Caenorhabditis elegans: one gene and its partner. The protein of the gene in region 1 interacts with the protein of each later gene in a pairwise test. Each region holds a gene or a part of one and is shown in the gene's direction. Other genes may lie near its edges. The genes, in order: ufd-1 and M05D6.2.

The links.
Region 2: the proteins of ufd-1 (region 1) and M05D6.2 interact in a two-hybrid assay, tested with the Caenorhabditis elegans proteins (one large-scale study listed by BioGRID).

What each region holds. Positions count from the first base shown.
Region 1 is NC_003282.8:12,328,596-12,332,888, reverse strand, and holds ufd-1 (Ubiquitin fusion degradation protein 1 homolog), read left to right. Parts: upstream 1-1,998; 5' UTR 1,999-2,014; coding exon 2,015-2,092; intron 2,093-2,113; exon of another isoform or gene 2,114-2,119; coding exon of another isoform or gene 2,120-2,179; intron 2,180-2,240; coding exon 2,241-2,378; intron 2,379-2,427; coding exon 2,428-2,639; intron 2,640-2,709; coding exon 2,710-3,170; intron 3,171-3,237; coding exon 3,238-3,377; 3' UTR 3,378-3,481; downstream 3,482-4,293. Other genes in the region: F19B6.1 (Uridine kinase), read left to right, coding at 1-232, 783-1,131, 1,174-1,308. UniProt on the Caenorhabditis elegans protein: Functions at a post-ubiquitination step in the ubiquitin fusion degradation (UFD) pathway. In association with npl-4.1 and/or npl-4.2 and ATPase cdc-48.1 and/or cdc-48.2, involved in the cytoplasmic elimination of misfolded proteins exported from the ER.
Region 2 is NC_003280.10:8,466,143-8,470,667, forward strand, and holds M05D6.2 (T-complex protein 11-like protein 1), read left to right. Parts: upstream 1-1,966; 5' UTR 1,967-1,980; coding exon 1,981-2,273; intron 2,274-2,320; coding exon 2,321-2,423; intron 2,424-2,467; coding exon 2,468-2,540; intron 2,541-2,587; coding exon 2,588-2,738; intron 2,739-2,784; coding exon 2,785-3,300; intron 3,301-3,354; coding exon 3,355-3,633; intron 3,634-3,687; coding exon 3,688-3,838; 3' UTR 3,839-4,020; downstream 4,021-4,525. Other genes in the region: fars-3 (Phenylalanine--tRNA ligase beta subunit), read left to right, coding at 1-40, 86-554, 606-674, 721-806; F22B5.10 (Calcium load-activated calcium channel homolog), read left to right, coding at 1,032-1,421, 1,492-1,662; M05D6.8 (ShKT domain-containing protein), read right to left, coding at 4,030-4,126, 4,222-4,313.

The sequences.
Region 1 (4,293 bases):
GTGATCGTCACGATTTGGTTCGCGACGATCTACCGGATTGTTTGCCGGAAAACCTGTTCATTTTAAAAGAAACTCCACAGGTCAAAGGTCTTGTCACGTTTGTTCGTGATCGAGAAACGAGTAGAGACAATCATATTTTCTATTCTGATCGATTAATGCGTATTCTTATTGAAGAATGCATGAATCATATGCCTTACAAAGATGTTGAGATTGAGATGGCCGGCGGTAGAAAGTGAGTAAATTTGAAACTGAAAAATGGTCACTGCAAGATTTGAAAATTCCTTTTTGAAATCTGAAATCAGCGCCAACCTTTCTGAAATTTCTGAATCTGACTGCAAAAATACGGTACCCGGTCTCGACACGACAAATGTTTGTTAAACAAAAGTGTGCGCCTTGAAATAGTACTGTAGTTTCAATTTCTTATCACTGCGGATTTTTTGTTTTATTTTAAGTTTTGTTTATGGTTTCAATCAAGTTTTTTAATACAGAAATAATTTTTATAGAAAAACTACAAAGAATCAATAAAAATTCTGCAGTAATTTAAAATTACAGTAATCTTTAAAGGCGCTCTTTCAGCAAAAAATCTGTCGAATCGAGACCGGCTACCGTATTTTCGGCTTAAGAATTGCAAAGTTTCAGATCTTGGTTTCGGATATTCGGATATTAATGTTCTATTGTTTCCAATATAAGAATAAACTTTTTCTAAATAAAACTTGAAAACTAAACAATTGAAAACGTCTAAAATAGGCTCAACCATCTAGAAACTTTAATTTTTATTTCAGAACTATTGGCAAACGAAAGGACGCTCAGATTTGTGGTCTTCCAATCATGCGAGCCGGCGAATGTATGGAGACTGCTCTTCGCTCAATCGTCAAGGACTGCGTGATCGGAAAAATTTTGATTCAAACCAACGAGACGACGTTTGATCCAGAACTTCATTATATACGTTTGCCACCACACATAACTCGATACAAAGTTATCATTATGGACGCCACCGTAACTACTGGGAGTGCTGCGATGATGGCAATTCGTGTACTTCTTGATCATGATGTTAAAGAGGAAGACATATTTGTTGCATCTCTGCTTATGGGTCAACAAGGTGCACATGCACTGGCTTATGCCTTCCCGAAGGTTTACAATTTTTTATTTGAATTAAAAATTATTAATTTTCAGGTTAAATTAATCACCACCGCAATGGACCACCAAATGACGGAAAATTGCTATCTGATTCCCGGAATGGGCAATTTTGGTGATCGATATTACGGAACCGGGCTCGAACAAGACATGGACGAGCCATTCGATATGTGATCATCTGTTATCACAAAAATGATCAATTTTCTTCATAATTTATCAAAGTTTCTGTTTTCCTTCCATTTCATCTGATGAATTCCTACTTTCTTGTTCCTTTTCACTAACTTTATTATTATAATTATAATTATTCATAATGTTCTTTCTTTCCCATCATCATATCCATCCTTCTATACATTTTGTTTCCATTTGTTGTTGAAATTTTATATGCTATTTCATTTTTTGTCGTCCTTTTTTTCCGTTCTTCATTTTATTGACTTCTCTTCATGATTTCTGGCATTCAGCTCGATAATTCATTTATACCCTGTTCTTTCTAGTGTTTTTTCGCGTTGTTTGTGACGGTTAAATTCTTCCCTCTACATCTTTGCGCGTTTCCACACAAAAATCTGTACACGACATTCGGTTTTCTCGTTGTTCCATTTCTTTTTTGTTCAACGGAGCGCGTTTGTCGTTGCAGGAATCGGTTTTAATATCATCATCCATTCACGCATTCTCTTTTTCATGTTGTTCATTGTGTTTTTCTTCAATTTTTGTCAAGTTTCCTTCACACGTGCATTTTAGTAATTTCTTTCTATAATAAATTGCAGTTTGTTAAATATTTAAATGATCAATGAGCTCTCTTTTCTTGGTTGGCTCATCCTCTTTGTATTTTTTGAATTATAGTTGAAGAAAACGTTAATAACTTTTCAGAAAACCAAAAATAAAAATGCAAGCGTGGATACAACAAGGACTTCACGGGATGCAGATGGGCGGCCGAGTCGGGAATTATGATCAAACTTTTGTGGTGAGCTTTTAAAATTCATTTCGAAAGATGTTTGCAAACTTTTTTCAACAACAACTTCGCCGAACTACTCGTCATTTCGATCTCATTGTAAATAATAAATTGGATTTCAAAGATTATATTTCAGCGTTAATAAACAATTAAATTTCAGGTATATGGGCCCGTATTCCTTCCCAATGCAACACAGTCAAAAATAAGCGAAATCAATTATGGTGGAAAGATTCTTCTGCCGTCATCTGCTCTCAACTTGCTCATGCAATATAATATTCCGATGCCAATGCTTTTCAAGGTTTGTTTTGTATAGCTTGAAGTAACTAGAAAACCATTAAAATTTACAGCTAACCAATATGGCTGTTCAACGTGTAACTCATTGCGGTGTTCTTGAATTTTCTGCTCCAGAAGGACAAGCCATTCTGCCACTTTGGATGATGCAGCAATTGGGACTTGACGATGGAGATACCATTCGCATTGAGTCTGCAACTCTTCCGAAAGCCACGTTTGCTAAATTGAAGCCGATGTCACTCGAGTTTCTGAATATTACTAATCCAAAGTGAGTTTTCATAAACTCTAATAATTTTTTGAAGTTTTTGAACAAAGTCCTATATTTTTCTATTTTTCAGAGCTGTTCTTGAAGTGGAACTTCGAAAATATGCATGCCTCACCAAAAACGATCGGATCCCAACATCATATGCTGGACAAACTCTCGAATTCCTCGTCGTTGATTTGAAACCGGCCAACTCTGTGTGCATCATTGAATGTGATGTTAATCTCGATTTCGATCCTCCAGAAGGCTACGTTGAACAACCGAGACAGGTGACTCCTGCTGTCACTGCCAAGCCGCCTGCGCCAGATGCATCCGCATTTATTGGAGCTGGACAAAAAGCTGGTGGTAGTGGAGGGACAGGACAAAATGCAACTTCTGTATTCGGAGGAGCTGGGCGTCGTCTCGATGGAAAGAAGAAGCCATCATCTTCAGTATCACTCTCAGATGGAACCGGTGTTAGTACGAGTAATGCAGCTCCAGTGGCGAATGATTTGCCAGCTATTCCACCAGTGGTTGTCAATGAAGACTACAAACCAGGTAATACTTGTTTCATCTGAAATAAACATTTCAAAATAATTGAAAAGTTAAATTTTATGATTTTCAGGTCGTGTTTCATTCCTTCGTTATGATTATAAACGTGTTGATGTTCTCGAAAAAGAGCTCCGAGAGAAAGAAGCCAGCAAGGCAGGACAACCGTCAAATGTCTTCCGTGGAGGCAATCGAACACTGAGAGGAGCCCGTTAATGTCTCGAATCTGGCCAATTGTGCTATGAATAACATCTTTCACTTCACATAACCTTGTAAAAGTTCATCGCCACTTTTTTGTACAGGATAAATTTATTTGAATATATTATTCTTTGATAAGTGTGATTCAGAGATGAAATTGAAGGAGATCTCCGGAGAAAAAAATGAAATAACTAATATTATAGAACTATTCACTTGTTACAAAAATGCCTTGTAAGGTTTAAAAAATTGCAGAACTTGTTTAGATCATAAATTCTGGCTAGCGTCTGTGCTTCCGAAAACACACAAATGGACTTTTTCAATTGAAATTTTTTTGTTGAATCGAAAAATTCAATATTCAAGGAGCTCGGCCATGAAGCTGATGAACCTTCAGCGATGTCAGTGATGGGTGGAGTGGTTTCTTATCCAAACTTCTATGAATGAAAAAACCTGGAGAAAATGCTGTTTTGAAAGCCAACTCTATTTTTTGCAGAAAAAGGTCCAAATAGTCGATAGCTTCACAAAAGATCACTCGAAAATAGTCAAGATTCTGCAGGAAAAAGTCAAGTCTCAATACAAAAATTACATCTACAACACCAAAAAATCATTAAAATAAATACTAATTTATTGATACGGCGAAAGAATCGAATAAAATACAAAAAAAAAGAAAGTAGGATAGCTGAAGCAAATCGAGAGAACGGAGAAACAAATTATACGAGTTGGGATACAAACATAAAATACCATAATTGCCTACAATGGCTGGATGTTGAAGATTGAAGAGGTGGATCAGTTCTTTGTCGGAGTTCTCACTCCAGGAGGTTTGAGCTCCTTCCACTTACGAAGCATGAATGCTTTCGCATTTCTTGAGCATACCTGAAAAAGCAAAATAATCCAACTTTCAATAACGAGAAAACTTACTTCTCCAACTTTGGAAACG
Region 2 (4,525 bases), on another chromosome or scaffold:
GGCCTTTGGTTACAATAACTTGATTACAAAGCTTCCGGAGGTATTTATTCATTTTCTAGATTAAATTCTAAATAAGTATTTTCAGTCCAATACTGTTGCTGTGGCCTTCCCAATCAACAAGCTCTGCGATAATCTCCGGATCGAAATTGCTGCCGCTGGATGGACAGAAGCTTTGAACTTCGCATTGTGCAGCCGTGACGACATTTCTTCAAAGCTCCGCCAGCCAGATGCACTTTCTCATGCAGTTCATATTGGAAATCCAAAAACTCTTGAATTCCAAGTTGCTCGAACATCCCTTCTTCCCGGACTTTTGAAAACACTGTCTTCCAACCGAGACATGCCACTCCCATTGAAATTGTTTGAGCTTCAAGATGTTATTGTGAAAGACTCAAATACAGATGTTGGAGCAAGAAATGAGAGAAGACTTGCTGCAGTGTACTACAATAGAGCTGCTGGTTTCGAGATTATTCAAGGATTCTTGGATCGAATTATGAGAATGCTAAATGTCAATCCTGCGCGCGACGGAACTGGATACTACATCGAAGCCGATGAAAGTAAGATTTGTATTTATGAGTCCTTATAATTGAAATATGCTACTTTTTCAGATTCAACCTACTTCCCAGGACGGTGTGCCAAGATTATCGGTCCAAAGGGAGTCGTTCTCGGACATATCGGCAAGTCATATTTAAAATGACATCCTTTTAATATTTAATATTTTAGGAGCTCTCCATCCAGAAGTTATCACCTCCTTCGGGCTCACATTGCCATGTGGAGCTGTCGAAATCAATGTGGAACCATTCCTTTAAACATATTTTTGTTACTTCCCGGTTTTTGGTTTTGTTATTGCGATTATTTATGGATTTTTCCTCTGAAATGTGGTTTTTAAATATTTCATGCTTGCTGTTTTTCTTTAATTAAAATGTTTCAACTAAGAGTTTTCATATTGGTTATTTCATTGTCTCTCGGTTTCATCCGTGGTTTTATCTACTCAAAAATTCTATGTGTCTCGTATTTAAAAACTGTAATTAAAGATGTTGGGTGATTGCCTCCTGATTATTGCGATCGCGTTCGGAACTGCCCTTGCCGGTGAAGGTATCACATGGCTTCTTGTGTATAGATCCGATCACTACAAAAGACTGAAAGCTGATATGGACAAGAAGACGAAGAAATTAGAGAAGAAGAAGCAAGAAGTCGGGGACACCAATGATAAAAATATCAAAAGAAAGCTTGAGAGAGAAGAAGAACGATTAAAGGCAACTAACAGAGATATGAGCATGTTCAAGATGAAATCAATGTTCGCGATTGGACTCGCGTTCACTGCACTCTTGTCTACATTCAACTCGATTTTTGAAGGACGTGTTGTCGCCAAACTTCCATTCTATCCAATTGGATTCATCCAGGGTCTTTCTCATAGAAACTTGGTAAGCATCGTTTGAAAAAAAACTCTGATAGCATGTAGTAAACTCGGTTTTTATTACTTTATTTTTTCAGATTGGCGAAGACATGACTGATTGTTCGTTCATTTTCCTTTATATTCTCTGTACCATGACCGTTCGTCAAAATCTCCAAAAAATCCTTGGATTCGCACCATCTCGCGCTATGGCTCGCCAACAGTCCTCACCATGGGCTCCACCAAACTCCCAAATGAACTATCTCCGTTAATTTAAGTAAAACTTTCACTTTCAACTCATGTGAAACCTATCTCTGATAATAAGCACTATTTATTTTCTTTCTCTTCCCAAAATTTTCAATCAAAAATCATATTTATTCTGTAAGTTTCAACTTCTGTGTGCTGCTCAATCATTCGTTTCTCAATGATTTTACTGGAATGAAATATATTCGTATGTTGTGATAATGAATACCAAGTTCTGTAATTCATTTTTTCTATGTTATTTCCGGGTTTAAATCTCTGGAATATTTGGAAATTGTATTCCACGAAAAATTTTGGATACTTTAACATTTTCAGTGAAATACAGAAAAATGAGTGACGAAGAAAAAAGACCGAATAGTCCCTCTGGATCAGAAGACAAAAAGAGCAGAAAACGGCATGTCTCACCGCAGCCTGTACCAATTCCTGGAGCTCAAGAATCGAAAAATACTCCATCGCTTCCACCATGGGTGGCTGGAGGATCACCAGCAAAGTTTGTCAGTCATGAAGAATTGATGAAAATGACAAATGAATTAGAAAATATGGAGTTGGTTCATGAAATTGCAATCGATCCTAATTTTCAAATTCCCGATAAACCAACAAATGCAATTCAACGATGTGTTCAGTGAGAAACTCCTTATTTATTTCAATTAAATAAATTAAAATTTTCAGAGAATCAATGCACAAGGCCTACTACAATCAGCTACGCCGGGATCTTGCCAAAGATCCTCCTGAACTGGAGTACTGTTTCAGTTTTCTGATGGAAGTCAAAACTGTAAGATGTTATATGAATTTTTAAAATAAAATTTCAATTTTCAGATGATTCTGGATGACATTTTAACTGCCCAACATACACGTTTAAAAGCTGAAATCAACTCGATGCTTGACGAAAGTAAATTCAATTTTTATTTTTTTTTTTTTAAGTTTAAATTTTTTCAGCTGCTCTACGTGGCAAGTTAGACCAAGGCCAGCTTGATATCAAGAAAGTGATGAAATATATTGTTGACTTATGCTCAAGACTGTGCTCTCCAGCCCGAGATGTGAAAGTTGCCGAATTAAGGACCAGAACTGACGTTATTGATATTTTCGAGTGAGCAGAAAATAAATGGAGAGAAATATTTTCTATTTTGTTTCAGAGGAACGATGGATCTTCTGGAGCTAATGAAAAATGATTTAACCAACTATCAAATATCACAGAACCGTGCGGCCATCGAGGAATACTCATCAAAACACGAATATGACATGTTTCAGAAATTTCTGATTGAGAATCCGAACGGATGTTATTTTGCCAGACAGTGGCTGAAAGCTGCATATGACGAGTTGTTTGAGAAAAAATTAGATGCTGAAGGAGAGGAGACATCAGTGAAAAAAGAGAGAAAAAATGAAGATACAGATACAGTCTTAATTGATACTACAAGTCGAGGTTATACTAAGTTAATTCAAGTCAATGAATATGATGGATTTCCGGAAACTTTGAAAATCGACAAAATCAAGATTGAATTGCTTGCGGAAAAGTTTTTGCAAATTGTTATGTGTGCATCATCTGTATTCGTCACATGCAATGTAGCAGGGAAACAAATTTCTGAAAGTGCAGATTTCAAGAAAACATTAAAAGATCATTTGATTGTAATCACAAATAATACAGACGAAGAGTGAGTCGCTTTGATTTTTATTCAAAGACCATATACAATAAAATATTATTTCAGACGAATAAAATCCGATCTCGAGAAAATCGGTGAGCAATGTGTGAAAGAGGCAGTCGACACGTCGAAGAAGCTGAATATCGAATGGAATACTGAAAGCTCAACATCTATTCGAAACCAAATCAACGCACTGATCAGCTCAGATAATCCTATCAGAAAGCTGGTTCATACCAGAGTTTCCACATTTGTTGAAGAAATGCTCCGAAGTCCAACTTCTGTTCCACATCGCCTACTTCCAGGTCTTTCTGTGATTCAATCTGAATTGTGTGCTTTCACATCGAAGTAAGCTAATTGAAGAATGAGAAAGTTGTTTGTGAAATTATGCAAATTTTACAGATTCCTTCGTCTCTGTGTCCACAACCGGAAGACATTTTACGCGATGTATTCCAACCTCATCCAGGAGTTTCAAGGACATACTCCTTCGACGCATGCAATCTATCGTGCTGATAGTCCCTCTTCTATGCCTGGTCCTAGCACATCTGCCTAATTCACAGAACAAAAAATCTGAAATATTTGCCACTTGTTATTACTGTAAAGTTCCAAATTCCGATCTTCAATATGCTTTGTGACATAATCTCATGCTTCTGATGGTTATCATTTATATATGTCAGCATTAATTATTTGGTTTCATATATATGTTCAATTATTTACATGAATTGGTGAGTGAGTGCTCGTTGTTCAACAACCTCCACAACTTTTCAAACAGTAAGTCTTCCTCTCGTCCAACGTGTAATAAGTGGAGTGACAGAAGCCATTTCGAGCCCATTTTGGACAGCTTGAAAGGAAAGGTCGAATTATGGAATAGTTCATTAATTTCTACAACTACATATTTAAAAGCATTTTCTAATAGCTATATTTTTCGATTTATACCTCTGAAACGAGTCACGACAACGAGATGTTTGTGGAAGACGAACAAATTGGGGGCAGAAACCACATGTTTTAGCACATTGACGCATCATTATCTGAAATAATAATACATGTTTTTCAAAACTCATTTTTTCCTCTTGAGCACTCTAAATTATTAAAATTTTTCATAAATTCAGCTCTTCCGTTTTATGAACAGTGCTGTGAAGTTTGGTATTAGTTGCTACAAAAGTTCCTACATCGTGGCAAGGCCCATCGAAAAAGCTATCGCGTACATTTAAAGTGAAGTCTTATTCTTTACCAATATTAT